Lepisosteus oculatus: one gene and its partners. The protein of the gene in region 4 interacts with the protein of the main gene of each other region in a pairwise test. Links are inferred from orthologs where the notes say so. Each region holds a gene or a part of one and is shown on either strand. Other genes may lie near its edges.

Region 1 (7,819 bases), on a different chromosome or scaffold from region 4:
GCAGCGGTAGACACTTCCTCCTGGACTCCTCTTCCACATCATACTTGTGCTGCTACTATCCTGTCAGATCTCAGATGTCAAGATGAAGCTGGCTCAGGTCAGACATGGGATGGGAGACCCCTGAGAAAGACCTGCTTGTTGCATTAAGCAGTGAACCAGTAGGTGGCACTGTTCCTGCTGCTACTGCATTTCCCAAATCCTGCGCCCACTATGGGACAGGGGACACTGTGCAGTGCTGTCCTTAACTGACCTAATCATTAGCTTGATTGGACCAATCTGACCCATTTGGAGATTGAAAGAACCCTAGACAAGCTCCTGGCTCTTGACGGCAAGGACTGGAGGATTAACCGAAGTCTGGAAAGTTCCCAGTGCAAGTAATAATGGGGCTGATAACCCCAGTGTGCTGGCTAAATCCCACCCCAGGCTGTACAGCCTGCCCTCCCTAAAGTTCCCCCTTAATTCAACAGGCGGATTTTGCACTTCAATCATGGATGAACTGGGTTTCTTCATGGATGTACTAAATGATCGTGTTTCTATCTTTTCAGGGAATTCCTTGGAAGTGGCTGCTTGGGGCTCTGGTAGTAGCCATCGGTTGTTTACTGACAGCAATGTTCCTGCCAGGGAGGAACTAACAGCACCTGTTTCTGAGGCACCACAGCACCAGCAGATCTGCCTAAAGAAGTGTCCAACACAGATTTGCAAGGCTTAGGAGCTCACTGTAGCAGTTAAATGAATGTTCTTCTTCACATTCTTCCAATGTGTAAAAGGACAGCACTGGAGTCTGATCATATGAAAGCAAAGTAGATGTAAGAAGTCATTTTATAGATACATTTAAAAAACTGGTAGTATGTCAGCTTATACACAAACAATAGTCATGCAGTTTTGCAAGCAGATGTAATATACAGTATGGAAGTGATGGAGAACCTCACAACATCTGACTGGCTCATGAGCAGCTCTCACACACCCACATTACAGGTTGAATTATAATAGAGGTGGCAGTGTCTGGATTAGCTGCTGACAAAAGAAAACGACAGATTGATAGAATATCACACATATGCAAAATACATCGGTCTAGGGGAATAAATAACGATGACAGAAAAACTGAGTAACCCAGCGCACAGATCCCAGATATTCTGTCAGATGAGATGTACTGTACAATGACTGGACATCTTTTTTAAACGCACATTTAAAAACGTGACAAAGAAATGTTGGGAATTTATTATCATGCCACCAAAACGTAATATCCTGCCTGCTAGTTTTTTCTTCTGTGGCACCTGGATGAACAGACTGCACTGATGAATAGCACAGAAGAAGCATGCCATTCCAGGCCAAACTGGACTTGATGATCCTGGGACTGGAAACGGCCTTTCCAAAGGACCTCTGCTGCGAAGGGAATTTAATGGAATAGTGTAGCTACTGCCTTTGGGATGGAGGGGGTGTTCCCATCCCTTTCCTCACCGTGAACTCAGTGAAGGACTTCCAGATCCCTCCTGTGTCCCAGGCCAGGACAGCTGAGGAACAAAGGCACATCCGTTCCAATTCATTCAATTAGAGTACACCGAAGACTGACAGGCTGACTAATACCCTCCAGCAATGTTCCCTCTAAACTGTGCGCAAAATCAGTGCACATAGGAAATTGAACTGCGCACAAAACATTAAATTAAAACGGAATTGTAATCATTAAACACGGTCGTCAATTGAACAAAACTCAATTGACCACATGAGACTGGCTGCGAGAGGCGCAACGTGGCTGTGTGCATTACTATCGCTACTCGATCACCGATATCAATGGTCTCGTACCTCACTGCTCATGCTTGCTCCGAACTCTCTCTCTATGACTGGGCTCGTTGAATCGCTGTCCCGGTCGTTTGGATCTCTATGCTTCTATATCAACAACAAAAATAATTTCTGGTTTACAATTTTACATGTACCCAATTTAGTGCGCAAAAGCTTAAGTCACTGGGGAAAAATTTGCACAACTTTTTGATTTTTTTGCACACACAAGCCATTACAAATTAGAGGGAACGTTGCCCTCTGGGCTCCAAATTCTGACTTTCTATTGGTCCCCATTGAGCTTCGTAGTTCGTAGTGCTCTTGCAAACTACAGAAACTGTTGTGACAAGATATGCAGCTATTTGTTTAATTATAGAGAGCATTTCCTTCATATGATATTAATACAGAGATTAATTAAAGCATTGTAGTTTTCTATTGTTTTGATACTTCATCCTGTCTGTTTTTTTGAATATATAAATTATAGCTATTTGAAGCTGCTCTTGCCTCTGATTATTTTCTTCACAACATTTTTACATTTAGAATCAAAGCACGTCGATCACTGACTATTTCTTACGGTTTCCGTTTCACGTTATTAGTCTCACGGGTGCTTTTTGATGGCACCCGACGAGAGGTACAGTACGTCTTACTTCTATCAAGTCGGTCAAAGTAATTTTTAGGATTACGTAAAATTATAACTAAAATTTCGCTATAGAGTTAAGGAACTAAGAAGTTTTATTTCGACCACTGGGTGGCACTCGTGTGCCAAGATCTTACTCTACTCCGTTTACTCTGTGAGATACTCTGTGAGCCTTATGGAGATAATATTGATGGTCTTACCCACTGTATCACTGACTACATAAACTTCTGTGTTGACAGTGCAATGCCCACCAGGAAAGTGCGCTGCTTATCCAATAATAAACCCTGGGTCACCAGTGATCTGAAGGCCGTCCTAAATAGGAAAAAGAGGGCTTTCCAGGCAGGTGACGAGGAGCTGAGGCGAGCACAGAAAGAGCTGAAGGTGAGAGTTAGGGAGAGCAAGGTGGCTTATGGGAGGAAAATGGAGGACAGGTTGAGGGAGAGCAATGTGAGAGAAGTGTGGAATGGCATGAGGAAGATCTCTGGATACAAGTTGTTTGGCGCCCAGCAGAGTGAGGGATGCCTGGACAGGGCCAATGAGCTGAATCTTTTCTTTAACAGATTCTATACAGGGTTCCATACAGTGGTCCATTCACCTCACAGGCCTTCATCTCAGACACCCTCTTCATGTCCTCAGTCACCCCATCATGTGATCCCTCCTACTCCTCCTACTCCATCTTCCCCTGCCCTCCTCGGCCTATCCATCACAGCTGACCAGGTCAGAAGGGAGTTGAGGAGACTCCATGCAGGGAAGGCAGCGGGTCCTGACGGTGTCAGCTCTAGGGTGCTAAAGATCTGCGCAGACCAACTGGGTTCAGTGCTGCAGTACATCTTCAACCTGAGCCTGAGATTAAAAAGTCCGGTGCTCTGGAAGACATCTTGCCTGGTGCCAGTACCCAAAAAGGGGCACCCTAAAGTCTTGAATGACTACAGACCAGTGGCACTGACATATGCATATTGTTATTTTATTGTTTTTACAGTGACTATGAGCATATTTTGCACATACCTATGTATTTATTTGTATTTATTTTATATTTATATTGTATTACTGTACATATTCTAATTTTTCATATTTAATCAATTTACCCTCGGGATCAATGAAGTCTTATCTATCTTACCGCACCAATTTAGCACATACTGTAGGTGGATTTGTCCATCGGACAGACTGACAGTGATGCCTAAAATTAATAATCGGTTTTTGACGTGGTTGGCGTTGTTCGCTAAAACTGAATCTGTCGCAATTAACAGAATACAAGTTCAATACAGTATCACTTATGAAGGATTGGGTTCTTTAACGCAGAGTTGTAGCAAATAAACTAAATTAAACTGACAATGGTCAATTGAACGAGTTATTAAAACGAAAAAAATCAAATTTAAATACTATGCAAGACAGCATCATCCTGAAGCTCTCTCAGGTTCACATGGGTATGTGCCCTCACTGCTGCCAGCTCAAGCCAGCCCCCCACCGTTAGGGACTCAAACCCAGGCCTCCGGCATCACTCAACATGGACCCAGCCAATTAAGCTAACGGGAAAACTCCCGTCAGTTTAGCGGCTGCGGTCCCTGCTATCCACGTCATCGCGCTAGTAAGCCAGCTCGAACAACCTGCAATGCTGGCAGTATGCGTTTCAATATTCAAACAAGGCAAAAGCCGAGTAATTCAGACGCCCCTTCCTAATTTGACTGTTTTTGTCCGTAAAAAAAGGGAGCCCAGTTGACCCTCAATAAACTCTCAGTGCATAAAATGATGAATTTCTGTTCCACATGATTAAATTCATTAATCTAACGCCAATGATCGAAGACTTCAGCCTTAAACGGTGGTTTTGGAGGGAGTCCCCACCACCTGTAAAACGCTTTGAGTGGAGTGTCCAGAAAAGCGCTATATAAGTGTAAGCAATTATTATTATTATTATTATTATTATTATTATTATTATTATTATTATTATTATTATTATTATTATTATTAAACACTATGCTTTGAAGTGAAATAAGAAAGGATAAGTACAAGCGTTACAATAAGCACATCAATCCAATCCAGCCTTCAACACGATATAAAACGTAACAAAAAACTGTATTTTAGTGTAAATTACATTTTTTTATTTATTATAGTGTAAATTACATTTTACATACTATCGTACCAGAACAACACAGCCAGTTTAAAAAACACGTCCTTTGACACTTGTCGAAAGTGGCCAATCAGGAGATCGGTGAATATTCAGGAATGCCAAAAGCTCGACCAATCAGAATTCAACATTTAGTGCCAAGGGGTGGGAGGGTGTGCTGAGTGAAATCTCGCGTTGAAGTGACGTCATTTAGAGGCTATCAGTACAGAGGAGGGAGGCAGGTAGGAGAGAGAGCAGCCCGGAGGGTTCGCTACTTGGAGCGTGGAAAAGACCATCTAAAAATGACAAGTAGGTTTCTAAACGTCTGTTCCTTCACGTCTCTGCTTGAGATACACGCTTCGCGTGTCTGTGTTTAGGAAGATGTGATCCGGTGGCGATTCAGCGGCGCTACAGTGTGACCGACAGCTCAGGGAGGCAGGCGCTAGGCCGGAATGCTGTTTTGCGCTATATATGTTTTGTTACGTTTAACTGTGTCGCTGAATTAATTAAGGCCATAAAATAACCTTTTATGTGGGGTTCAGTAATACGAGATGCGGGAAAATAGTTCAGAGGAGGGCAGGGAGGTATGTGGTGTGAACTTGTAGAAGGGGTTTGGTGTGTAACTTGTATCGTTTTCGCTTTAGATAGTTAGGCAGAAGTGTTAACAGCCAACGACTTTACTTTAAGCGGTACTGAAGGAGCTTAAAATTGTGTTTTGTATGTCCTGACATTGAAAAAGAGCACGGGTTATGGCTGGAAATCGGTTTTCTTTGTCATTACTGCATGTAGCTCATTGCCATCAAGTGGGTGGGCTGGGGATAAGTTGCTCGTTTTGTGACCCAAGGACGGTCGTTACAGCTGTTGTAGTTTTAACTCCTCCACCGAATGGGGTCGTTAAGAAAGCGCCGTGTTCGGGAGCAAAGGAAGGGTGTTTTGTTATTGTTTTCAATGCGCTGTCAGCCATGTGAGCTCTAGAGCGCCCCCTTGCCACGTCGCCGGGCTGGTGAAGCTGGTGAAGCTGTCCCGCTGTCGCCCGGCGGCCCAAGGACCGTCAGACTGCTATGTGGATGTGGACTTGTGTTGTATAAATAGACTCCACGTCCTTAAAGTGTGTGCTTTGTGAATAACCCTTTGAGGAGGATAGAAAGGGCAATGTTACTAAATCCTGTTAATGCAGCATGGGTTGCCAGGAATGTTTGTATGTCCCACAGTGAGGACGTCTTGCGCTGGAATGGTCGATTCTGTACTTTCACATGCGGGGAAGACTCATGAGTACAGCTAGTACAGAAGTATAGTAGCGTGGCGTGTTGTGAGCTTAACATAGTTTCTGCCGTTTCTCTGCAGACTTGTTCCCAGGTTTGAAAGGGTGACTCTTGTGTGTGACCCCTTTCTGGGTTCACGACCCAGCAGTTAAGTGTGTGGTAGTTCAGAAACTGGACTTTTAATTCGGTCATTCGTGTACATTATGCTGTCATTGATGGCGGGTATGAGTTGTCATGTATGGTGAAATACAGAACCATACATGAGTGGGTATACAACGTCAAATGTGGGAAAGCTAATTATTGCTACTGTATGTGCTCCCCCAGTTTGGCATGGTCAGGTTTCAGCTTCACATTTCAGCTTACAGTGTGAACCCCCAAGACTGCTCACGGGGGAGACTGGGGTAGTGGAGGCAGGCGCCGCTGAAGCTGAACTTCTCCACCACCTGGGGCGGAGCGTTGGCTCTGTGTCTAAAGATCTGCGCCTGTGGCTGGAAGGCTGCCGGTTTAAAATCCCGCGGCCGGCAGAGGAATCCTACTCTGTTGGGCCCCTGAGCAAGGCCCTTAACCCCAACTGCTCCAGGGACGCTGTATAAATGGCTGACCCTGGGCTCTGACCCCCAGCTTCTCTCCCTGTCTGTGTGTCTCTTGGAGAGCAAGCTGGGGTCTGCGAAAAGACAAATTCCTGATACAAGAAACTGTATATGGCCAATCGGATGATGTTATACCCTGTGCTGGGGAAGGTCTTTGCCTGCGGAGCCCCTCGTGGAGCCCTCGCTCACCGGCGGTTGTGTTTCTTCCTCATGCTGCCCACAACCTGCAGGGGGAAATCAGCGGGAACTTGCCCGCCAGAAGAACGCCAAGAAGCAGAATGAGCAGAGCAGGGGCAAGAGGAACGAAGACGGCCTCTCAGCCGCTGCCAGGAAGCAGAGGTATGCAGCTGTTGGCCTGCCCCACGCTCGAGGGCAGTACATGCGTCCTCTTATCCTCGGGCTTAATCTTTTCGGACTACAGTGCAGTAGGCTTTTGAGTACTGGTTCCCAGCCTGGTCCTGGAGATGCAAACCACCGTGTCTGCCCATCTTCATTCCAGCTGAGCTCTTCTTGCATCACCACTGCAACATGTCTTGCGTGGCGAGTTTTGGTTTGCGTGTTTCAGCATGCGGTCCCGAGTTTCAGAAATAACCTACTGCAAGCGTATTGCTGCCACTAGCTTTATCTGTACAGTCAAGTCATCTCTCCTCAAGTTTCATTGTTTATTACTGAACAGCTGCCACTCAGCTGATGATATATTTGTCATTTCTGTTTTGTCAACTGTAGCCCTTGTGAGCATTTTAAAAGTCCTTTATTGAGTTATATTTTGGGAATATACCCGAGTTTTATAGAATTTGTGTCATTCAGAAATTTAGTACCAAGTTGAAACCAGTTACAAATCCAGTTTGGTTCTAAAGAAGGTTAATATTCCATAAGCAGAATATTGACATCGGTTCTCCTGCAGTTTAAAAAAATAATCTGGGACAAATCACGTGACTACAGGCCCTACTGGAACAAAGTGAGGAACCACTGCTTTAAATTACCAGAACTTTGTGAATAGCTGTTAAAATGTCCAATTAAGCCAATAATGAGCTGATTTAAGAGAACAGCACAACTGGAAAGAAACCTTGATGATAAACTGTCCCTTAGGGCATAGGAAAGGAATTGCCTGTTTTCAGAGGGTTTTTGAATCATTGCCTGCTTTTAAATCTGAGAAAAGTATTAACTTGGTTCAGTGTATTGAGTCAGCAATTTCTACCTGATGCTTAATAGAAAACATCTACACTGTCATGTAGAATAGAGATCTGAGTTCAGCAGAGATGGGGCCACAATTCCCTGGACGCATTTTTCTCCCATTGGCCTTGATTACTTAATTGAACCACAAATTCATCTTTACCCATGTGACCTCCTTGAACTGTGGAAACTGTCTGATGTAGATAACTGGGTGAACAGACCTATATAAGAGAAGCTAAAAGGAATCACATTTACTTAATGAACCAAATTTAGCTGTAAAATG
Region 2 (8,025 bases), on a different chromosome or scaffold from region 4:
ATTTCCTAAATCCACATAAAGCATTCAATTTGTTTTGGGGTATTACAACACTGTAACGAGTAAAAAGTTGATAACTTGTGGTATCTAATGGCACTGTCCCATAATGCCCCAATGTGTGACATCAGAGGTTCACAATGCAGGTGAAGGTCTGGATTTAGTCACCATGGCAGTTGTCAGCAATACTGGGTAACCCAATGAGAGAGGTGGGACTCAACAATACTTTCTTCTCTTTGGGGGCACTCCACCCAAGTGCTAATGTTAAAAACGAATTGCAAGTTCAAACCTACTCCTTCCTGCTTTCATTCAGACTACATTTGTTTGTGTACTTTTAACTAATGTTAAATGAAAGCCTTTCAGCATGTACTAAAATTACCCCTCAATGAAAAGATATTTAGGCCTATTAAATTAAAGTGGGAATTTCGATAAAATAAAAAACCTTCTAGTGAAAAAAATCAATACTGTAGTAGAGAAAAAATATCAGGCCAAAACAATTATTTTATTAATCCTGCCCTGTCTTTCTGCTCTCCATTTTCACATTTTCATGAGCAGTTTATTAATGTTGTGTGTTTAACATTTTTCTAGGATAAAGATTTAAAGACCAAGTTTACAGTGCAACACTAAAGATTTAACCACAATGTAATCAAGCAAATCATTTTAATACTCTACTACTGGACATCATAATCTCCCCTGAGATTTGATGCAGCCATTTAATTAACCTTTGCATGAGGCTTTGAACACATAAATAAAGGACTCATACAGAGCACAAGACTGCTTCTGTAACAAGTATCTCTTGAAGGTTTTCCATTTGTCTCAGGGATATAGAATCCAGAAATTCTGCAAGCCACCCACTCAAGAAATACAAATTGTAATTTGGGTATTTTAACTGTCCAAAGCTTCATATACAATATGTATGTCTAACACTGTATGTACACAGTATATATGACCAGTACATTAAAAAACATGCACATCAGAGCTTGCTTTTGTGGGAATTGCAAAAAAAAAAGATACATACTAAGCCAGTCAAAGATAATAAACACACCTTAGTTCTGTATAAGAGGTTCAGAGGTAATTATTTTATGTGCAAAGTAAAGGAAATGTAATTCAATAACAACAGCAGTAGCACAACAAGGTCAAACAAAGACTGCATAACCCTAAATGATTTCTGAAAAGATCTTCCTTCAAAGTACGCTTTGTTATTTTCTAGGTTTTCATTACAAGAACAGTGGAAGAAATTTACGAACAGGAAAGGTTTGGCTGGTAAATAAAACAGTGTTAACGAAAAAAAAAACCGTCGAAAAATTAGACAAAGAACCAGCAGCGGACTTCCTTCAATTATGAAGCTAGGACTGTATGGAGTGTCCTGTATGTAGACGTATACAATACCGTTCCGAACAAAGAAAGTGTTTAAGCAGCTGTCTTAACTTTAAATTATTTTAAAATACGTTTTTCCCCCCATCTAATAGTATACCGTGGAACTCTTAAAAACTAAAACGAACACACTCTCCCACGAAGCTAAAGACAAAAACCGAAGACCTTAATTACCCTCCGACCTAAAGAAAGTGATAGTAGTATATCCTCATAGGCCTATATCAGCCATATTTATGTTCACACACAAAGCAGAGCACGGTATACTTCAACAAGCAGGACTGTTACACTTAAAGATGTACGATCAACCGGGGATATACGCCTGTTTGCCTGTGTTGGGGGACGAGGGGTGTCACTTCGTCATTCATTATTAAAAACACAGGATTGACACAGGAAGATCCGCAAGAGACTCAATACTATTCCAATACTCCCTTCTTGGTTTACACAGGCTACATTTTTGCAAAGATTCATTTACAACAAACAAGGAAGATCCTTGCCTAAACTGAATATGCTACTGACTCCTTTTTTTACTCCTTTTCAACAAAACCTAGTTGCATATTTATACGTAAAGTACATTAAAATGTCATTTGCAATTCGGTAAGGTTACACAACCATTTGTTCACAGACGATGAAAGACCATCAATGTACTAAAACACCCCAGGCTCTGCAGCAGACACCGAGTTGTACCTTAACTTGAAATTTACATTTCATACATTTTTAAAAGAAAGGTATTTTCGCACACCTCGAGGTTGGACTACACAACCTGCGGTAAGTTACTACTTCAGCGATGAAGTTCAAGCACAAGCAATACTAGCCATCGAAACAATTAAAACCAATTCCAAAAAAATCAAGCTTCTTAATTCTGGGTCGAAATTAAAAATCAGGAGCGCCCGAGTGACACCTGGAGAACCTCGCTTTGCACACCAGCTCTCTCGACGCAAGTTTATTGATGTCTCTCTTCCATGTTCAAAACCGGTCGGCACTTTAAAAATAAATGAGTGAGCTACTCTGTTTTGAACAGCAGACGGAGAATAGCCCCAGTAACATAACGTGTCTGTGAATCACTGCCTTGTCCTTTACCTCACACTGACCAAGAGCTGAACACAAAAACTTTTGGAAATTACTCCGAGAATGAGATCTCCAACTGCTGGACAGGCACGCGTGCGAGGAAGCATACTACTACCACACTAACCACGATACTCCAGTCACTTTAAGATAACACAGTTTCGTGTTGTGTGTGTAGAAATGAGGTTAATCAAAGCGAAAGGACGAACACATCAGGAAATAACAAATGCATGCTCGCAGCTGGGGTACTCACTAAGGGTCGTTTGTAAACCTGGGTGTCCGGGGAGGCTGGTATCCGTATAGATGACAATAAAGCACGTCGAAGCAGAAGCAACACATCTCCGCCGAAACAACCATCTTCCTGCTGCTGCCAGAGCCGGGTCCGGGGCTGAGGTTCGGGGAGAGGCCGGTGGTGTTATAGCCTCCCGGAGTTGGGGACAGCGCGCTGCTGTTACTGCCACTGCTACCCCCGGGACCCCCCAGGCCGTTCACACGATTCACACTCCCGGCCGCCACCGCCGAGGAAGAGCCGATTCCCAAGTCCGAGCCGCAATGTCCAGTCCCAGCTCCCCCGCTCCCCGCCCCGCCGGGACCCCCCGACCCGGGGGACCCCGACAGCTTCTGCTTCTTCACCCCGCAGCACCCGGCCGCCATCTTGGAACAATCTGCTCCGACACACCGCTTCCGACCCATCGCCGTCACCGCGGGAGGGGCGGGGGGAAACGCCGACCAGACGTAGAAATCCCACTGCGTTAACACGTAAGACGGACAATGCTCCACCTTCTCTCTTTTTCCAAATTTAATACCCAGCGTAGACTACGTTAAATTTTCAACTCCCAAACAAGGGGGAGGGAGGGGGACGCAAGGAAAAAAGAGGAGGGGGAAGACTGCAATGTCACCCGATCCTTTTTCTCTTTTTTTAAAGTGACGTACCTTACGGAGAATCCTTACGCTGTTTTCTTAAGAGAGTCTTCTGCCCACCGGACTGTTGCAAATCCACTCCTTCCACCGGACCCAGATAATTCGACAATGTGCAGGCCCCAGTGTTTTGGACAATAAAAAAAAGATGAACGACCGCGTTAAGAACAAGCTGCTCTGCTTCCACGAACCAGGTAGACGCAGACCATTTGGCACTCGCTACGATATCTGCTTAAAAGGACAGCAGCTAGGTGGTTTGGTAGAGAGGAATACTGCACTGTCAGCACAGAGGCAGCGATCCTGTTTTTGTGTGGGAGTGGGGCGACTGAGCGCGCAGGACCCACACGTTTCAGCATGAATAACAAGTAAGGCTCCGGATGAGATAGCTACCACACACCCGTTGTTCACTTGCATCCGAACTTCTTTATATTTTCACGAGTTCAGGTCCAAGACCCACTTGATGCGAAGTCCAAGCGGTCTAAAATATGCAGTTTATTTTCACAGCATCTGCAACGTGCTTGTCATTGTTTTTAAAAAAATGTAGCTGCAGCTGGATTCCACCTGCTTTTTTCAGTGCTCTGGACGTGGTTAGCGTTTTTTATTAAAATACCACAGCGTACAAAGCAGACTTGGAAGTTTACTGTAGCCCTGTGGGAAGGATGTCATCAGTTTATTCTGAGTCATTTTTGCACGACATCCTAGTCCGCAAGGCAGAAGTCCAGCTCTTTCCACTCTATCTCCTCATCCGGCTGGCAGGTCTGGATGCTGCCCGTTTCAACTGCAGTAGAAATGTGTCGTCCGACCATCCGAAACCTCTCGCACCTTTTTCTTACTGGTTCCACATACACAAAAAAAATACTATTCAGGACGTATTTTGCGATTAATTCCTACGCATAGTACGTAAATTCTCTCGGGTCATCAAATCTCTGAACCCTGCGCGCTATCTGCGTACAAAGAACAAGAGAAAAAAACTCCATGCAGTAGTATACAGTACGCTTAAATTGACAGCGCTGGCTGCGTAGAGAAGACCATTTTTATATCCTTTTATTAAGATCGGTAGCACCCTCTGATGATTCTGTTCCAGTCCAAATCCTAAAAGAAAGAGAAACAACGAATTATGAGCAATCAACGTAGAGATATTCGGCTGCCCCTGGTTTAATGAATTCTGTTTTCTGTATTGAGATGAGTCTGTAGGTAGAGCCAAAGCAATTCCCCAAGCCTAAATAACCCACAAAAGAGTAACGGAGGCCGTTTTAATGTGGTATGTCATCCTCTGAGATTACAAAGCACGGCTTTAAAGCTACAGTGCATCGCACGGCTCCTCGGGATGTCTAGTTTTTCACGCCTATACAAACAAATCAATGAAAATTGGAGAATGCCTTAAGGGCACTCCGCCGGAAAAATGCTGTATAATTAAAATTTTCAAAGCGAACTCTTCTACAACAAACACTCACCCTCCTCCCCACCAAAAAAAGATTTTCAAGTACTGCATTTGCAGCATTTCTGAAATCACTACATTTCGTTATAAGCTGATCCCGAGTCCATAAACAAGGCATGTCATTTATTTGATTACAATGTTACTCAAAGTGATGTCCTCGGTCTACTCCTCTTGACTATTCTCCAATTGCAATTTCTACCAATTAATTTGCTATATCCTATCAAAGGCATCTGTAATTTCTGCAACAAGTTCCCAACAACTTGGTCATTACAAACCCCATTAGACTTCGTAAGAGTAGGGGTGTTGTTAACCCTTGTCTCCCCGTTAAAATTGAAATCTAAGCTTGCAGTCTGGGCTACCTATAAAATCCAATTCAGTATGTGCAGTAATGCTTGACTCTACCTGACTTGGTGTGTATTGGGCTTTTGTGGCGCATCACAGATGTGGTTGCTGTGCTTTAGTGGACGAAGAAGTGAGTCCCCCTCCTAAATGAAAGTGTTTTGGGATGAAAGACTACTAACATTAACATATGAAGTGTAACCAATTGTGTGTAACTTCCATTACTATTGTTTTGAGAAAGGTACGCCAAGTGAGAGTGCATGGAATGTTAGTAACTCCTGGGAATTCATTCTCTTAACACCCCAACACCTCTTAAAAGGTTCAGTTCCGGATTTCAACAAATGATTTTTTCACCTAATGGCAATTATTAGAAAACAATTCTTGAAACCAGACTTTCAGAGGAACTTTGTAACTCATTATTTAGCTTATTTGAGCTCCCAAAAGAAATGACTGCAATTAGTTAAATATCATTAAAAAACTGAGACGTTGATGACAGATTGAGTTTAAAACCAAAACTTAAAAAAAAACATGATTCTCTTAAAACGACTTAAAGGTATTTAAATGACCTGGGCATTGAGGTATATCTGAATTACCTGAAATCAACACCTGTGGTGTTTAAAGATGAATAACTGATAGAAATGCATTGTAGCAGCCACAACTCTCTGCAGAACTGGGGGACTAAGGCAGTCTGACATAAATGACAAGTTGTAGGAGCATTATAGATAATTGGATCCTGTGTAATCAGTGTTGATTATTAGTGGCTAAATTCTTTGTGATTGTTCTTTGTGTACAAGTGTTCTAGTGATCTAGAGTCATTTGAGAGCAGTGTTTATTTGGTGTGGATGGGAGTGGGCCCTGCCTAGCAGGACATACTGTACTCTTGCAAGGTGGTGTTGGTGGTAGGGGTGTCTTGCTAGCAACAAATGCAAACATAGTAAGGAAACCTTCCAAGAAACAAGGGCAAAAGCAGTAATTGCATCACCAAGTAATGACAAACCTATGTGACTATTGTAAAAGCAGTAATTGGTGTCAGGAAGGAAGACAACTGTGGTGGTAGTATTGCCTGAGGTCCTAGTCTGCCAGCTCCCAGTGTGTAGAACAGAAACAGCAAAAGGACCTCCAGACTACGGCCTGGCCACCTGGAGCACCTGCGGGGTAACAGTGGGTGCCAGCGCCCCCATAAGGAAATCCAAGCTTGCCAGGCATCCTTGCTTATGCCAGCCACCTAAAGTGACAGTGGCATCAGCAGCAGCAACAAGTGTAAATGCTGGCTAGTAAGAGCCCGGGATGATCTGAGTGTAAGTTACCCTGTGGTGGACAAAGCCATCTAGCTGCTTCATGTCACCAGCGTTAAGATCTCTAACCTCAATGAGCTGAATGAGTCTCCAGTGCCAACAAGCCAAATTCCTGAGCCAAATCCCTGCATCTGATGGAATCAGGCCATCCACAGAGAACTGTGTTGATTATTTTGACAGATCTGCACCTTGGGAGTCTTTCTGGGTGCAGTTTAAACTGGTGGTGAAGACTAAGGCATGCAGATTGTCTCTCAGCTTTGGGCAGGACTACATGGGCCAGAAAGTTCTTCTAAATCAAGAGGGGAAACATTTGATTAACATTTAAGGATCAGAATCTCTGTACTCCCACTAGCACTGATTCAGGAATGTAGGCCCCTAATGCTTTGTCGTCAACAGGACTGGGGAGGGAAAACCCCAGGATCTTTTGTTGCTGATTTTGTGGTATCTGTCAAGGCAAAGTTACTCTAATCACCTGTTAAAATTTGCCCCCATATCCTCTTCTCAGACTGTACAAACTAGGGTCAAGGCCTGGAGCAGGCTTTTCAGATCAAGGCTATTTATTTACACAGAGGCCTCTATGATAAAGTACAGGGACAGTCAAGACAACAAATTCTGTGTGAAGAATTTTGCCACTTCCAGGTAGTTCTTTTCAGCCCAACAACCCCTTTAACATGAGGCTGTGCAAGTCTCATTTGTAGGATGGACCTGTAAGGGAAAAAAGTGTTCACATCCTGTGTAATCAGGGGAATTTTTTTTTTTACATAATTTCCTCTGTTTTCCAGATCCACCCAAGGATTGCACCAGCAGTAGAGGGGAACAATCGTAAGCCCTGGGCAGACATGGGAAAGAATAAGGATGTGGACAGGACGGTTGCTACAACCTACATTGGGCAGGGAACTCTGGACATTCCAGTCTAGGGTGTAATATTCAGCTTGCATTATGGTTGACAAGGATGCATCCTCAGCCATTTACTCACAGCAGGGGAGAAAGAGATTGGCCTGTATCTGTTTCAGGTGTTTCAGATTAACCTATTTTGGCAATTTGCTTAATGCCTTGGCCACCTTTGAGAGACTACTTACCCAAGTCGGTCATCTGCTTCATATGTGAACCTACAACTGGTGTTTCACCATATATTGGTGGCTGGATTGAAACTATTCCTAGAGAGGTGTAACCCCTTCCAATGTGAAGGGTGGTTCCTGCCTGGGGCACATAATGGGACCAGAAAGAGTGTGAGCCCAGATAAAGTTGCTGCAATAGTCTTGGTTGTTCCCTACTAAGACCAAATCAGTGCAGAACTTACTGGGACACGTGTCCCTTTACCTGTGGTCTGTTGAGTTGGTGACTGTCTCTGGTTCACAACAAAGGGGGCTTTCTTAGAGTGGATGGAACAACCATTTGTGTATGTGGAAATTAGGGGGTTGATAGTACATTTAGACCAATTAGAGAACAAGCTATACTCTATTATAGTTATGCACTAAGTTAGCTTTCTTTCAGCTAAATTTAGCTGTGTAGCCCTGTTCCATAACAAAGTGTCTCCTGTGGTGAGACCCTATTAGAGGGGATGTTCACCTGGCGTGGTGTACAGGAGGAAATCTGCTGCGACCA
Region 3 (8,513 bases), on a different chromosome or scaffold from region 4:
CTGGGAGAGGTATTGGTGGGGCCAGCAGGGGGCGCTCACCCTGCGGTCTGTGTGGGTCCTGATGCCCCAGTATAGTGACGGGGACACTAGACTGTAAACAGGCGCCGTCCTTCGGATGAGACGTCAAACCGGGGTCCTGACTCTCTGTGGTCATTAAAAACCCCAGGGTGTCTCTCGAGAAGAGTAGGGGTGTTACCCCGGTGTCCTGGCCAAATTCCCCCCCTGGCCTTTACCCATCATGGCCTCCTAATAGCCCCCCCTCTCTGAACTGGCTCCATCACTCTGCCCTCCTCCCCACTGAGAGCTGGGGTGTGGGGAGCGGACTGGCGCCTCATCCAGGTGGGGGTACACACTGCTGGGGGTGGAGGGGATCCCCCTGACCTGTACAGAGCTCTGAGTGGAGTGTCCAGAAAAGCGCTATATAAGTGTAAGCAATTATTATTATTATTATTATTATTATTATTATTATTATTATTATTATTATTTTCAAACAGTCAAATGTGTAAAGACGATGATGCAGGATAAAAACCTGCTTCAGAGCAGATCCCCCCGGAGAGCATGCCAGAAACAACGCCGACCTCTGCCCCGGGGCGTGACCCAGAGGGTAGCGCAGGCGCCATACGCTGGACCCTGGTTCTAACTCCGCGGGCCCGAGCTGGCGTCGCGAGGGAGCCCCTCCTCAGTACCTCGGCAGTGACGGTGGGCTGCGGAAAGGAAATGGCTGTCCTGAATTTTTATAACGCTTGACTTTATCTGTCACATGAACTCTGACATGGGAATCATCCTTTTTTCTGTGAGCTGATGATGTGAACTACTGTATATATTGCTGCGACAGAACATCAGAAAAGATGCCAATAAACAATCAAGTCAAACACAAAAAAATGGATCAGGATTATGATATTGGCCTCTGCTACTTCAAGTAATGAGGCTTTCTTTTCTTGTGAGGCAGACGCCTCTTTTAAGATCATGAATCCCGTTCAGGATGTGCATTGGAACTGAAATTCAGGGAGAGCCAGGAAAAGTGACCATTGTTACCCTAAAATATCTCCCCGTCTCTAGAATGGGAACCCTGGGAGGTTTCTGCAGAATATGCTTGTCTTGAGTGGGGGTCACCTATGGCTGTGACCCCCTTAGATGAACACAGTCCCCTCCTTTCTACAAACGCGAAGAAGAGAAGGGTAGCCCATCGCAGGTTTCATTTCCCGTTACAGGGTGTGTTTGCGCCACTTGACCAGCAGCCCCACTTCCTCATTTCCCCCAAGCAGAACATCATGTCCGGAGAGAGAAAAAGTGTGACGGCACTCTGTTCTTCTGACTTGTTTACTTTCAAATGTGTGAAAAAAATATTTTGGTACTATTCGCAGATTCTCTTGTGGATGTTGCTGTCAATCGGGAAGTCTGAGCAGCTTGTGCGGATAAGTTTAGCTAACAGAGACTAATCCGGTATTGAGACGTTTTGTCTTCTGTCTGTGGTGCAGTATAAAGCTGAGCAAGCAAACTGCCATGTTTGTGGTTTTAATGTTTTACAAGAACGACAGTATCCTACAGCAGAGCTGTGGGCAAGATTAACCTTGCTCCTTAGGGCGACGATCATCTTTTTATTAGCAGATTTCTAAAGTTATGTTTTGACAACATTACGGGTCATGAACAGACTGAGGTTGGCGAAGAAATCGTTCCAAAGTGAAACAGTGGGTAGATAGTGCGTATATCCTCTTGTACTGTCTGACCACACACCCAGGCCTAACCAGAATGATGTATCTCACCAGCTACACTGATTTCTTGTATGTCGTATAACTAATATTTGCTTTTTTGGCCTGGAGGATCATTGGCCTGGCGATAATTAAGTCGTCACAGAGGAGACAAAGCATTTGGTTAAAAATTCTGACTGCCAAGATTAATTTGTATTTAAGGGGAGGGCAGTAATGCTTTTTTAGGGGAGATCAGACTCTGGTGGATCTTGCAGTGCATTCACCCTCCTTTGGGTGGCGCTGTGGAGCCAAGCAGTGCCCAGACCAAGGAAGGGCAGTGCGGGGTTGCATTCTAACTCAGCTCATAACGAACTGGATAGTTCATTACTGGCTTAAAGGGGAACTGTGAGGCTATTTTTATATTTTTAGATTAGAAAGAATCTTTTTTTTCCCCTCCCCATTTATTCTTCTCTCTGGACCTGTGTTCTCGGACCCTCGTCAGGTTCAAGAGGAGAGGAGTTTATTGGCATGAGTACATGCAGCCGGCCAGGAGCCATGTCACTCTGCAACTCACAACTGGCAGCCCCACTGGAGCCCAGCAGTGGGAGCCTGGCCAGTACCTGGAGGGGAGACTCCTGGGAGAGCTGAGGCTGCTGCTGGAAGAGGTGTTAGTGGGGCCAGCAGGGGGCGCTCACCCTGTGGCTCATGTGGGTCCTAATGCCCCAGTGTAGTGACGGGGACACTAGACTGTAAACAGGCGCCGTCCTTCAGATGAGATGTAAAACCGAGGTCCTGACTCTCTGTGGTCATTAAAAACCCCAGGGTGTTTCTCGAGAAGAGTAGGGGTGTTACCCCGGTGTCCTGGCCAAATTTCCCCCCTGGTCTTTACCCATCATGGCCTCCTAATAACCCCCCTCTCTGAACTGGCTCCATCACTCTGCTCTCCTCCCCACTGAGAGCTGGGGTGTGGGGAGCGGACTGGCGCCTCATCCAGGTGGGGGTACACACTGCTGGGGGTGGAGGGGATCCCCATTGTGTCTCATTGTCGTGTTCTGTTCTGGGGGAATACACAGTACAGCACACAACACCCCCCTACATTACACAGTGTATTACAGACATAATAAAATAATAATAACAACAACAATAAATAAGTTGTGGACAACAAATATGTAGTAGTGAGAAAACAAACAACAACAACAACATTGGGTATTGAGTCTGAGGCCTTGTTGTTAGCAGTAGCCGTTGAGGACGCGGACTGGGGCCTGAGCACGGTCTTTCACCTTGACATTACATGTCCGTTCACAGCCCGTAAAAAAACCACACGGCTCATCACTGAAAGAACCGGTCGCGGAATGTCACTTCAGGCTACACGGGGAGGAAACGGTGAAATTACAAGTTGATGTGCTCAGAAGGTGTCTCTCTCCGGGTTTTCTAAACCGTTTGGGGGGGTATTTTAACCCCCAAAGTAAAAAATCTTTTCGCTGGACAGCGACGTTACGTCGAGTTCACTGTCATGGTAACGCGCGTTACCGCTCAATCCCGCTACAGGGCCGTGTTTGAAGTACAACGCAGTATTGGCAGTATTAAAATTTAAAAAGGCGTACTCAACGGCTTTGATTGATCGCTTGATTCCCGGTCCAGATGGCAGGAGATTAAAGATAAAAAAAAGGCCACTGTCCCAGTCCTTAATCTTATCCCTATTTATACCCCTGTTGCGTTTCTGTGTGCGATTGACTTTTAATGCAAATTGTAACACGGGTCGCGTCACACTGCGTAGACGTTACCTCTCGAATCTCTTTTTTTAAAAAATAAGTTTTTTATTTAACCCGAAATACAAAAGAAAAAAAAGGAGACGGAATATTGAAATAGATACAGAAATAGACACTTCGCAGGCCAGAGGAATTCACAATTGTAAACACTAAACATTATAGCTCTACAGGAAGGCCAAGGAAAAGAGACGTCGCCGGAGACCGTGTTGGTGGTCCAGCCGCAATGTGGTAAAATTTAAATTTAAATTTAAATTGTCAATGCAACTCTTTATTGCCATGCCAACAGCTTTGATCTGCCCCCCCGTGGATAGAAGCAAGGCAAACAACAGAAAACACATATTACACTTATTCATACTTCTATCTGCAGCAATCAGGATATACCTATCGAGGAACCTAACGGGCTCTAGGAGAGATCGGTGCTCAAGACCGTAGGAAAGTGGTTGAAATCTCAGGTCAGACACTGCTGCTGTGCATTTAAGGGCGGTCGTACTGTGCGAACTGACTCTGGATCGTCACTGGAAATGAGAACTTGTTCACCGTACTTATCTGGACCAATACGAGTAAACCCGGGGGGCTTTCGGCCCCTGTTTGAGGTCATTTGATTTAAGATAGCTGACCGATCACTCCAGTCGTTTCTGGTAAGAAGCCAGGGTGTCGATTTCACCACCTTGGCTGAGCGGTTTGTTCCACACTCCTACCACCCTTTGTGTCCCCGCCCGTCCTGATCCCAGGATCTTATCAAGTCGTCTCTTGAGAAATCTCCAGGGTGTCGGCTTCAGCAACGTGACTGGGCAGCTTGCTCCTCACTCCCACCACCCTTGGTGTAAAGAAGTCCTTCCTGTTCTGTTTTAAATGGACTCCCACAATGCTTTCAATTGTGTGACAAGGGATTCTCTGTGATTTGCTTTTAGGGATATCCTTTTATTAATTTTTTTATTGCAACCACAAAAAATTGAATACACAGCCGTACATACAACATAATCACTGCTGTACACACCTGAAGAAGGCTCCACGGCCGAAACGTGTTCTTTTTCTTCTCTTTTCAGCCTGGAATAAACCTATTACTTGTTCCTTTGCGGCCTATGCCTGCTGACGCAGCTCCCCATCTTAACTACTAACATAATCAAAGGTACATGATAAGTTTCAATTTAGAAAAAAATACTAAACTAGTTAACGTCAATTCTTTCATGTACGTACGTGTAGAACTGGTCTGGAGATATACTCTGATGTCTGTTTTAAATTGTTCAAATATGGATCTCTTCCCAGACCATTTCATTTGATGTATTTTTTTGTAAACATTACATTTGTACAGTTTTTATTTAAACATCAGAAATAAAATGTATATAATAACAAGCAAGTAAAATGATTATGTCAATAACAAATAATATTTTTGTTTTTCTTTACAATGGGATTCAAATATATATACTGTATATGGGAAATCCCTTGTGATTTAACTCGATCTCACTTGCACAGTGCTTACTGCCCGTTAATCTATACATGAAATGAAATGGTCTGAGAAGAGACCCACCTTTGAACATTTCAAAAGAGACATACCTTTCCTAAGAGGGCATACCTTCAGATATAATTTCTAAATGTAAGGACATGAAACCGTATGTGCGTATTTTATCTTTATTGACTTTGTTTCATCTTGTTTCGTAAAGAGCAATCGTGGTATGCCCCCCCTGATTCTGGTATATGTATGCTTGTGTATACTGTATGCATTTTGTTTCTTGTTTTTGTTATTGTGGCGACGCTTTTAAAAAAAAGAAAGAACTTCCACCGCACAGTCCGCCATTTTGAAGAGCTCGAAGACCGCTTTCCCGCCCCCCGCTTTCCCCACTTCCGGCGCACGACGCGGCGTCAAGCGACGCACGGGCTACGTGCGGCGTACGTGCGCGGAAGCGACGCCATTTGCTGCTGCTGCTGCCGCCGCCGCTACTGCTGCGCCGTGGCGGATGTTGGCTTTGCTTATAACAGACCGAGCTGAGCGGGAGAGGCCATTTTTTGTGTGTGTGTGTGCGCAAAACTTAAGGTAGCTTTCTTTTTTTAAACAAAAATTCAGTCATTGAGGCCTCGTCTTAAAAAAAACAGGCATAAAACGGAAAGTCGGGATTTGGTTGCGATAGAGCCCCCCGCGATCGCCGGAGTCGTCTTGGAGCCGCGCCGGGAAAGAAAACGGTTTTGTTTTTGTAAGTGAGCGGAGGAGGAGGAGGAGGAGGGAGGGTGAGACGGGCTGAACCGCCGGTTTATTGTTTTCTGCGCTTAAAACGTTAGCATACTGTGTGTCCTCGGCCGCTTTTTGGGGGTTTTTAAAAGCGCTTCCCCCGGCAGGTAGGAGATGGCGGGCGCACCGCGTTAAGGTCGTCCGAGTTCCCTGGCGGGAGGGAGCCAGTCTCTCCCTGGGCATTGCACGCAGACAATATTCCACGATTATTATATTTTTTATGGCGGACGTGCGTTATCGTACTTAGGTGTTCAGTTGTGTGTGAGTGAATCGGGGGGCGGTAGGCTTGTTTCTCGCTGCCTGGGGGACCTGCCCCTCGCCATGAGGCCCGTGTGCCTCTGCTGCTGCTGCTGCATTGTTCTGGACCCGGAGCTTCACCGTCCACCCCGGTGCACCGGAGTCCAGCCGGCTTAGAGGGGGCTACGGCCGCTGTACCTGGGTCTGGGCGCGCTTGGTTAATGGGTCACTCATCGTCGCTCCTGATGGGCGATTTAAAGCAGAAATAATACTTGCACGGAATCCAAAAAGGGTATTTTCTTGTTCTGGGAAGATGCGCGGCACACGCAACTTTTCGCCGGCGCGCTGCTACTTTTCCTGCTGTTGGAAGTCTGTTCCCGGTAGATTTGCGCCCACAGAAATAGGTCAGGCCGGCTGTGTTGCACAAAGCTTGCACGATGTTGGGTGGGGGGTAGTTTTTTTTGGGGGGCGGGGGGGGGGGGGCTTATATCCGTTGGATCGCTCAGTATCGTGACAAAGGAGCCGGGCGAAATGGCCGGTCTCACCCATGCGCTTTTTTTTTTAAGCAGCCCGGCTGTCGGCTCCGAATAGTGTGGCTGGGTAGGCCTGTTCCACCCCCCCACCGCCCTTTGTGTAACGTGCTTGGGGGAGCAGGGACCTGAGCGTCCGGGCTCGTAACTGGAAGGGTGTGGGTTCAAATACCAGGCGAGACCCTGCTGTCGTACCCTTGAGCAAGGTGCCACACTCGGGGAAAACTCTCCAGGAAAAACCCCAGCTCCCATACATGGGAACACGTGTGTGGTGATTTGGATAAAAGCATCGGCCTGGGTTTTTTTTTTTTAAAGTCATTTGTCTCCCCTGGATTGTGTTTTGCTGGTGGTTTTAACGTTTGAATGTGTTCAGTTCACGTCTTTGTGTTTCTGTGTGTATGCGCGAGTTGTTGTGTTTTGATAGCAATGCGTATGACTTGTGTCCAGATAGTCCTCACCCTCCTGCGCTGTGGTGTGTATAGTGTTGGTGGACCAGTAGGAGCCGTTTTCCCTGCTGAACCAGAATTTCCCAGTAATTACCCCCTCCCGTATGGCGAGGGGACAGTGTGCCGTAGTAGGTGCCACTCTTCAGGCGAGACGTGAAGGTTTGGACCACTGGGGTATTAAAAATCTCAGGACTGTTGGTAACAGTAGGGTGTTTATTCCAGTGTCCTGGCTGAACTCCGCTCTGGGCCTGTGCAGTTCAGTCCCGATACATTCAACAGGCGAAGCAGTTTCTCTCCCCTCCCCATGATCTGCTGTGTCTCCCAGGTGGGGGCTGCCAGTGCAGAATGATCACTGTGTGTCTCCCAGGTGGGGGCTGCTGGTGCAGAATGACCACTATGCGTCTCCCAGCTAGGGGGCTGCTGGTGCAGAAGGATCACTGCGCGCCTCCCAGCTGGGGGCTACTGGTGAAGAATGAGCACTGGGCGTCTGTATGTAAAGCAGTTAGGGTTGAAAGGCGCTCTTCAGAGGCCAGGAGTCCCCTGCAGTTTATGCTGTCTGCTGTTTTGCAGCGGGGCTTCAGATCCCTGCGTTGGTCCCTAACCTCTCCCCCACCCCCCTGCTTCCCTTCCCGCAGAGCGCCAGAGGAAAGACTCACCATGGTGAAGATCTTCGTGGGCAACCTGTCGCCCGACACCACGGCCGAGGAGCTGCGCGCCCTCTTCTCCCAGTACGGCAAGATCTCGGAGTGCGACATCGTGAAGAACTACGGCTTCGTGCACATGGAGACCAAGGCGGAGGCCGACGAGGCCATCCGCAACCTGCACCACTACGAGCTCAACGGGCAGCCCATGAACGTGGAGATCAGCCGGGGCAAGGCCAAGGCCTCCACCAAGCTGCACGTGGGCAACATCAGCAGCAGCTGCACCAACCAGGAGCTGCGGGCCAAGTTCGAGGAGTACGGCCCCGTGGTGGAGTGCGACATCGTCAAGGACTACGCCTTCGTGCACATGGAGCGGGCCGAGGACGCCATGGAGGCCATCAACGGGCTGGACAACACGGCCTTCCAAGGTGACGAGCCGCGGGCGGATTGGGGGCCAGCTGCCCCGTAGTGCTGGGTTGTAGTCGGGGTCTCCTGGCCTTCCTATGTTTGTGGTCTGAGGGTGGGTAGGGGTGGGGTGTACCATCCCACAGACGGGTTGGGGGGGGGGGGGGGTGGAGGTGTGGAGCGTACCATCCCAGTGACGGATATGATTGGGGGGGGGGTGAAGGTCTGGTGTGTACCATCCCAGGGACTGGTGAGGGAGTGGGTGTAGGAGTGGGCCGTACCTTCCCGGGGGGGGGGGGGGGGGAGTGGGGCCTACCATCCTGGGGACAGGGGGGGAGGAGTGGGGCGTACCTTCCCAGGGACGGGGGGGGGGGGGGGAGTGGGGCCTACCATCCTGGGGACGGGGGGGGGGGGGGTGGGGCGTACCTTCCCAGGGACGGGGGGTGGAGGTGTGGCTGCAGCAAAACCTCCCCAGGTTTTCTCCCGTCGCGCTCCCAGCCCTCGGCGGTTTCTGTCCGCCCCCGGGATCGGACGGGGCCGGGAGGGAGCGGTCGAGGAGATCGGGATGCTTAC
Region 4 (8,088 bases):
AATCAATAAGAATAATTGACTGGGAGATATATGGACAAATACAATTCTATTTTGCATAAGCTACCCTATCCTTTTTAGTTTTGATACTGAGACACCCACATGACAGTCTTACTGTCGAGAAATAGCTGCAAAGTCTAGTTGTTCTCTCACTATTTATTGAGGAAGGAAAATGCTGTCTTTTATGCCCTAAAGATGCATTTGCTTAGGTTGCTTGGCAAATCAATTTTAATGGGTTAAAAAGAGCTTCTGCAACTACTACAATATGGTAGGTTAACCTACTGCCCCTGACAATAATTAAAATTTAACTGCTCAAAGTCATGAATAAAAACATCATGTTATACCAAATTGCCTTGTTTAATAAAGCAATATTACATTGCATTGTGTATTGCATTGTTAAAGGACAGGCATTTTTTATTTACAGTACATCTTACATTTATTTCGTTCTCTTTAAAGTTTCTAAAGTTGCAATTTTCTAGAAATGTCACTTTTTTATTTTAATTACAACATTATGAATACAGAGTGCACCAAAAGAGTAGAATGACCAGTGATAGAGTACTGCAAGCATCGTCATTCTAGGACTCATCTTCTCATCTTATTATTAATCTTCCTATTCTTCATCTTTTGCGCTTTCTGCATCTTCTACATTTGGTCATCTTTTGCAGAATAGGCATCAATATGGGTGCATCAATAAGGTTATGTAGCAGGTGAGTATTGGGAATGGAAAATGGTACATCCTTTATCTTATACAAATCATCATCTGGAGCAAAAGGATTTTATTCTTGTGGTAATCTAATAATGAAGAAGGGAGCATCTGGTTTAATGCTAATGAAGTTCAATTGCCATTTACTGTACTGGAAATTATCCCTCTAGATTGTTGCCAGCCTCTGTCTCTGTAGAATTTTGTAGGCTTGTAATCCAAGGGAATATAAATTACCAGCCATATACCTAAGAACAAGGATGGAGTGAAAACTATCATATTACAGATCAAATGATGGGGACTGTGCCAACATGTGGGTCCTCTTTCCCTCCCCTTAGAGATCAGGACTGTAAGAATATTCAATCACTACAAATGACACAGAACCTTTGGAAATTTCTCCACACATTTTCTAAGGTCCTGAGACATACTATGTCATGATCAGAATCCCTCCTCTTAAGGGCGCTCCGGCCCTTTCGTATTTTAGTAGATTATGTGCACCTGCCCTCTGTTTGTCCCTCCTTATTTAAGCCGGGCGCTCTCGCTACTCCTGGCTCTGCATTGGAAGACAGATGCCTGGAGAACCACTTACCATCAAGTTGTCCTACGTCCACGGCTTGAAGGCGTAGGCTTCCTAACGGTGTCCTGACCAAGCTGAGTCCGGGGCTCGGAGCACCCGGCCTCGTTATCCAGTTTTTATCTTCCTGGTTCCCTGACCCTCTCCCTGTTCTAGATCCCTTTCCGAATTTTAACTGTGTTTGTTTTGTCCTGGATGGATTCCCGTTTTGGAATTTGGACTGCGCCCCGGATTCCCCCATTTGGACTTCCCTGAACCTGTTTGCCATCGCCACGCCCCCACGAGCAATGGATCACCGTAGTCACACCCTCCTGTCTGTCATCCCGTCTTGATCCTCTTCGTCTCCTCCACCAGATGTCCTTCTCCAGTTCCAGATTATACCGTCTGCATAGGGTCCTGAACTATGCTTCACGGGAACTTTGACGGGCTCCCGTTACATACTCTACACTGATTCTGAACACACAATAATCTACACCTGGCCTACAGTACCATGTCAGAAATGCTGTTTGAATTCAGTACTGCTGTTGCTTGATCAGATAACTCTGATCAGATTACTTAAGCAAGTCCTATCTTTTCCAAATCCATAGTAGTTATCCTTTAGAATCCTAGTGCTTTACAGGTAATCCTCTATTTTATTTGTATTTATTATCATCATAATCTTACATGTCATAAACATAGGCTTTATTGGATTAGATTATGGCACATAACTGAACCAATTTGAAAGAACAAGAAGCAAATCAAGAGCATTGAAGAGAGTTCACAAAGACTTGACCCAAAAGCTCGAAGAAGCTGTATTGGCCTCATTAGTCACATTCAGAGCCAAAGACGACAACCATCCTTACTTGCAAGGGAAAGCCAATGAAAATAAAAGAAGGAATGTTTCACATGATTATCTCTGAGAAAACTGTTTTCCTGTTTTTTTTGTTTTTTCTTTTTACCAAACTGTACTTTTTAATAATTTAATCAATTCTTTCATAGTCCTCATATTTTACTTAATTGATTATTTAACCTAGAATGTTTTTTGGGTCAAACTCAGAAATGTAGTTTCTAACTAATAAATCCACTCCATGTGTTTTTGTTCAAATTTAAAGCAAAAGCTGTACCTTCATAAAGCTCGTAACTTCCTGTAAAGAAAGCAAAGGAGGTTCATATCAGGATTATTGTTATTTTTTAAAATGCCATTCAAAGTCTCAGAGAAATCTTTTTGAGAAGCCTCCTTTTGAAGTTAGAAAGAGTTAAAAGGCAAGGTAGCATTTTGCACTTACCTGCTCTAGGATTGCAGGGACAATAAACAAGTGTAAACCCATGTTGTTGTTTTATCTTGCAAATATGATTAAAACCCAGTGAGTTGTAAAAGCTGTAACTGTATCTCTTCTCTTTCCTGTTATATTTTTCATTTCTTGCTGTCCGTCTTTTTACAGATAGTGTTAGTTGAATGGACTGGCTGGAGGGGAATTCCAGTCTCATAAATTGCCAAGTTATCTGGTTTTCACTGATCTGCATAACCTTAAATATGTAGCAAGCTTATCTAGTCAAATGCCTCAACTGTCCAAACACACTTCAATAGTTATGTTCCTCGTCGGTAGTCAAACTACCTCTACAAAATGAGATGCAGTAAAAATGACCAAACTCTACATCCGTACTACTTCCAACACATAAGAGTAGGCTCTGTGTGCGTCCATTACTACTGTTGGTTGTTAAAATAACTGTAACTAGTCAAGCAAGAAATAAGTTTTCTAAATCCATGTTAAACATCCACTAGAACCCACAATTATACAGCTAATCAACTAGTTTTGTTTGGATGACTCTAACTTTACAACTTTTAAAAGCTTTATCAGATCTTCCAGTTCTTTGCTATGGAACATGGGCCAGCATTTGCCATACAGGTGTTAAAGGCATTGGAGATGATAATATGAACTGGTGACGGAGTACATTGAAACATGTAGTCAAACGTATTTCAATTATACCCTCACTCAATAAGGAGGGTAGCTGGTAGTTTTTGTGGGTCCATTGATCAACTCTCTGATCCCTGATCTTGAGTCACAATTTCCTTCTGGTCTGAGGGATTCGGTTGTCTTGTAGCAGATTTCACACACGTTCACTGTGTGTGTTCACACCAAGAATCTCCCACACATTAGTTTCATACAGTATGTGTTTACTAAGTGTGTTTAAACTAAGACCAGTCTGGCATCACTTTTAGTGTATTCTAGCTGAGCATACCACTGCATTTGTGCATTTAGAATGCCACTTGCTCTCTAGAGCACTGTGGAGTTTCTGGTGGGTCAAATGTCCGTGACAGATGGGTGTGTTGGAGGTGTATATACAGAATTACCATCCATTTCCTAACTGCTTCTTCCAATTCAGGGTCGTGGGGGAGCCAGAGCCTATTCTGGCAAGCAACAGGAGCTAAGCAGGGTTCACCCTGGATAGGACACCAGTGCTTTGCAGAATAGACAGACACACGCACATTCACATCAGGACCAATTTTCACAGAAGCCAGTTAACCTAATGGTATGTGTCTGGACTGTGGTAGGAAACCTGTGCATCCAGAGGAAAGCAATGCAAACATGGGGAAAACACACAAACTCCATAGAAATAGCAGATAGGTCTGGAATTTATCCCAGAGCCACAACAGTGCAAGGCAGATATGCTAACTACTGTGCCGCTGTACTGCCTTCAGTATATCCTGCAAATTGGATGAATATAAAACAAGAAATGTCGATTGTAGTTTTAATTATATATGAGTCCTATGGATTTAAAATATATATATATGGACCATCATTGCAAAGTGCAATCTACTTTACAAGAAAACCAAAAGATAAGCGTATACAGGACCAAAATGTAGTGTACATAGACATGCCTGGTACTGTATCTCCTTTGACAGCAATCAGCTGATGAGCTGTTTCCAAAGATAAAAAAAGCAGGTAAAAACGAAAAGGTGAAGCCTACAAAGAAAAAGAAAACTTTTGTAGAAAGTATTAAGCATAGTGATCATTGTATCAACTTTGGCCTTTCACAGTTTGAAAATCTTGGCATCATTTAAGTAAGACTGAATAAAGTTGCAAGTAGCTCCAAGACAAACTATTGACTTAAAGATCCTGAATGAAGACTGCTTGGACAGAGCTATACACGATATCTCAGCCACCCAATTATTATTCAATTAAATGTCAAGGGGGATTTGAAGGAAGTTGTTCCTGCCAGGAAGCCTATGCACTTTAAACTGCCTGCATCAAACAAAGGAGAAAAAAATCAAGAGACAATATCAACAACTGACTTCCTCCGTATTACATACAGTATTCCTTATTTTGCATAATGTATGCTGGTGAGCGAAAGCTGTTTCTGTCTTTTAAATGTAGTTTAGGCGCATAAAAATTTCTTTAAAATTAGAACTAAAACACATTTTAAGACCCGTGTTCATTGTTTAGTATCTATATGCCTACTTGAAGTGCGTATCACAACTGATCAATAATCGTTTTGTATCGGGGTATAAGAAAGATTGCGCTGATACAGCTACATGAAAAATACCCCCAAAAAACCTTCTTGCTGGTTCTCGCTCTCTTTCTTAGCATATCTTTTTCAGCCTGAAGCGCTCTTCTGTTTCGTATCCTTATTATCAAGTTGCGTTTTTAGAAACATTCCTAATGGCTTAAGTGGAACACAACATACAGTACGACCTGCCCCCTGTTTCTCTGTACCCAGCCTCCCAATGAGAGAAAGCTTACTTCTGTCGGGATCTGTCTGACGTTCTGGCCATACCAGCAACAAAAGAGAAATGATCAGGTTTTCTTCACACAGCAGTCAAAGTGGAGTATTCTGGAGACCTAGGAATTGGAGTTCATAGGCGTCTTCCCGGAGTAACAGCCTGAAGTGAAACTGGCAGGATTCCCTGGCACCCAGACTCTGAGACCCTAGTCGTTTCTTGATCTTGGTTTCCTCGTTGTTTTTGGCTTTCTGGTTTCCATTCAACGCCGAAGGTCTTTGATGTTGACTAATTGAAGAGATTAGCATTCTTCAATTTCTGGACTGTATACTGAGGGTCTAATCTGCCTCCTGGATATCAACTGTACTGACAGCTGGATCCTTAAAAAAAAGCTTACATAAACTTGAATTCGGGCTTTACAAAATGAACAGCAGCAAAACTGAAAAAGAGAACGAGTTAAATGAATATAACAGCCAAGAAGAAGAGGTAACATTTGTATTTCAATTCCTTCTATTCGCGACATATTACCATTTTTCCATATAAAATAGATCCCGGATAAATCCCGTGAGAAAACTTTTAATACATTTTGTTACTTCCAAGTGTCTTAAGGTTTGTAAGACGTATTAATAGTACATACAGTGTGCACTCGGGCTTTAAAGCTGATGCACTCGAGATCAAGTACTTCGTGTACCCTTTTCGAAACCGAGCTACTGGATGTTGACTTTGAGAAGTTTTGGTCCCGAAATTGTGAATGGAGACGCGTATGTTGCTCTCATTTAACTGGATTGGTAGTTGATCCAATACTAAAGCACCCACTAATCCATTCATCAAATCACTGTATACAATATATGATTAATTAAATCGTATAATATATTGAAAACAACCAGTGCAGCATCGTTTTAACAAAGAGTTCGCCTGTTTTCGACCAAAGAAATGTGTGTTAATCTTAACCTCACTATTAACAATCAACATTTTTTAAACCAAATGTTATTACATTTTGCAGGCGTACGCGTTTGCATATTAAATGTTTGATCGTATATGAACGCTGAACTAGATAATGTATTTCCAATAGTTTTTTATTGCCAATATCGAACCGCTATTTCTAATATTTATAATGTACTTCATTCAATACTATGTCTATTGTTCAAAAAAATCTTTCGTCGTAAAGTTAGTTTTATACTGTATAAAGGTTTTTCAGTTTTCTTTACGTACCCATGTGAATACATAAATCGCCAAGTTTATAAACATATTTAGAATTCATCAAATAAAATTCATCATCAGCACATGATGATATTAATGACTGGTGTAACTGGTTTACCAGTTTTTATTATTGGAAATTAATGCTTACTTGAAGTTGTTAACAAGTGCATTTCAGAAAAGCAGATATAGAAATTAAGTTATTTTTTTCTAAATTGGGGTTGCAGTAGTATTTGTGTGTAGGTTAAAGGGTGATTAAAGTGTGTTGCTTCTATTCAGAGACTGCTGTGACACTGCAGAGACAAGCTGTGTTTGGGTGCGCGCATAGAAAAAAGACGCGATAAAGGGTCACATTCATGAGTCATGTGCGTAGTTCATAAATCAGTTGATTCAACGACGGCTGCCTTCTTTAACACCTCCACCTTCAAAGACATATTCATTGTCAGATATCATTTAAAAAAGTATGACAATGAGTGTAAATAACATGCTTCTTCTATACTGTAACTATGGAATGATGTCCTAATGTCAGTGCACACAACAGCAATCTCATTGCCTTCAACTCCTCAGATTGGAGACTGCAGACCATCTTCTGAGGCCATAGTCTGCTAAGGTCATGGTTTCGGAGATGGAAGAGGCTGGAGACATTTTTTAGGACATGGAATCAGTTTGTTCGTATTCTGGAGTGTCCTAATAACCCATTTAGTTCTGATGCTAACATAACTTCTATCTGATTAATTTCTTTGGACTATACTGTATGTCAATGCAGACATCACAGATGTATGTTCTCATAATTGAATCTTCATACGCCAAGACCGCAGGTGGTTCATTTAGACAGATGTTGAACAACAAAGGAGGTTGTACATTCCCCTTATGGGAATGGGACAGTTGGGAATGGTTGCACTTTCTCCAGAACATAGAGTTTACAAGTGAGGTAGTGGTTTCCCATTCATTTACTGTGCTAAAAGGTTCACAATCAACCATTTGCTAATTGCTAGACAAGATTAGACATTCAGGTACCTCAGGTGCCTCATTTTAAAAGGATTCGCACATTTAGTGTACTTACAAAATCAACAACACGGAGAGCATCTTCAGTCAGTCTGAATCTGAGCCTGAAAATGCAGTGTAATCCACAGACATGTTTATACTGACGATCGTGGAGATCGAGAACAATTTCATCAACAATATTAATGACGCTGACTTTGCAAGTGAATTTTATGAAATGGTTTGATGGGGTTATTAAATAATTAAGGTATTTGCCAAGTGGCCTTCCTTAAAACCCAGAGGGGATTTGTTTGAAACCCCACAAAAACTGAACATCCATAGAAGTAAGAGTATACTAAGAAGGAACAAGCGATAACAGTTTTTATTCATCAAAGTGCCAGTCGCAAATATCACATTTATTAGTCGATTTAGAACACAGATGCACATTGTGTTAGACTTGCAATATCCCAGAAGCTGAGATATTGAATCCCAAAAATGAATAACATTTTTCATATTCTAACAATGTCAGTAGGCAGTATTTTTAGATTGTCTCTGTATTTTTTAATTTGTTCTTAGTGAATATTTGTTCTTAGTGAAAACATATATTAGTGAATATTATTAAAATTCAAAACTATAGTAACTTATCAGTAACAAAGAAATGAAGCATACACTTAAAAGTCATGAAATACATATTTTTCAGACAACTAAATTGTTACTCAGTTTTGTTTTAATAAAAATGTACCCTGAACAATAAATATACTTAATAAAGAAATACATGTGATTCCATGTTCAGGTTCAGCAATCTTAAAATGAAAATTGTGGCCACAGATTGTAGGTGTTGACATCAAACAACTGATATAAAAATCTGTAGAAATCATACATTGTTTTCTTCAAACATCTCCAATGATGTTTTCTTGTCAGGTGATGTACAGTAGAGAT

The links.
Region 1: the proteins of RNA-binding protein with multiple splicing (region 4) and serf2a interact in a two-hybrid assay, tested with the Homo sapiens proteins (2 studies listed by BioGRID and IntAct). The two-hybrid records come from large-scale screens. The link is inferred for Lepisosteus oculatus from reciprocal best matches to the Homo sapiens genes RBPMS and SERF2.
Region 2: the proteins of RNA-binding protein with multiple splicing (region 4) and ammecr1 interact in binary tests that used the Homo sapiens proteins (3 or more experiments, as listed by UniProt). The two-hybrid records come from large-scale screens. The link is inferred for Lepisosteus oculatus from reciprocal best matches to the Homo sapiens genes RBPMS and AMMECR1.
Region 3: the proteins of RNA-binding protein with multiple splicing (region 4) and sf1 interact in a two-hybrid assay, tested with the Homo sapiens proteins (3 studies listed by BioGRID and IntAct). The link is inferred for Lepisosteus oculatus from reciprocal best matches to the Homo sapiens genes RBPMS and SF1.

What each region holds. Positions count from the first base shown.
Region 1 is NC_090700.1:52,440,908-52,448,726, reverse strand, and holds the start of serf2a (small EDRK-rich factor 2), read left to right. Parts: upstream 1-4,718; 5' UTR 4,719-4,813; coding exon 4,814-4,820; intron 4,821-6,593; coding exon 6,594-6,702; intron 6,703-7,819. Other genes in the region: fkbp16 (FKBP prolyl isomerase 16), read left to right, coding at 546-632. UniProt on the Homo sapiens protein: Positive regulator of amyloid protein aggregation and proteotoxicity. Induces conformational changes in amyloid proteins, such as HTT, driving them into compact formations preceding the formation of aggregates.
Region 2 is NC_090703.1:35,398,317-35,406,341, reverse strand, and holds the start of ammecr1 (nuclear protein AMMECR1), read right to left. Parts: upstream 3,235-8,025; 5' UTR 3,124-3,234; coding exon 2,684-3,123; intron 1-2,683.
Region 3 is NC_090713.1:21,525,100-21,533,612, forward strand, and holds the start of sf1 (splicing factor 1), read left to right. Parts: upstream 1-5,368; 5' UTR 5,369-5,412; coding exon 5,413-5,489; exon of another isoform or gene 5,490-5,646; intron 5,647-7,529; coding exon 7,530-7,963; intron 7,964-8,513. UniProt on the Homo sapiens protein: Necessary for the ATP-dependent first step of spliceosome assembly. Binds to the intron branch point sequence (BPS) 5'-UACUAAC-3' of the pre-mRNA. May act as transcription repressor.
Region 4 is NC_090696.1:69,305,018-69,313,105, reverse strand, and holds the start of RNA-binding protein with multiple splicing, read left to right. Parts: upstream 1-4,929; 5' UTR 4,930-5,394; coding exon 5,395-5,457; intron 5,458-8,088.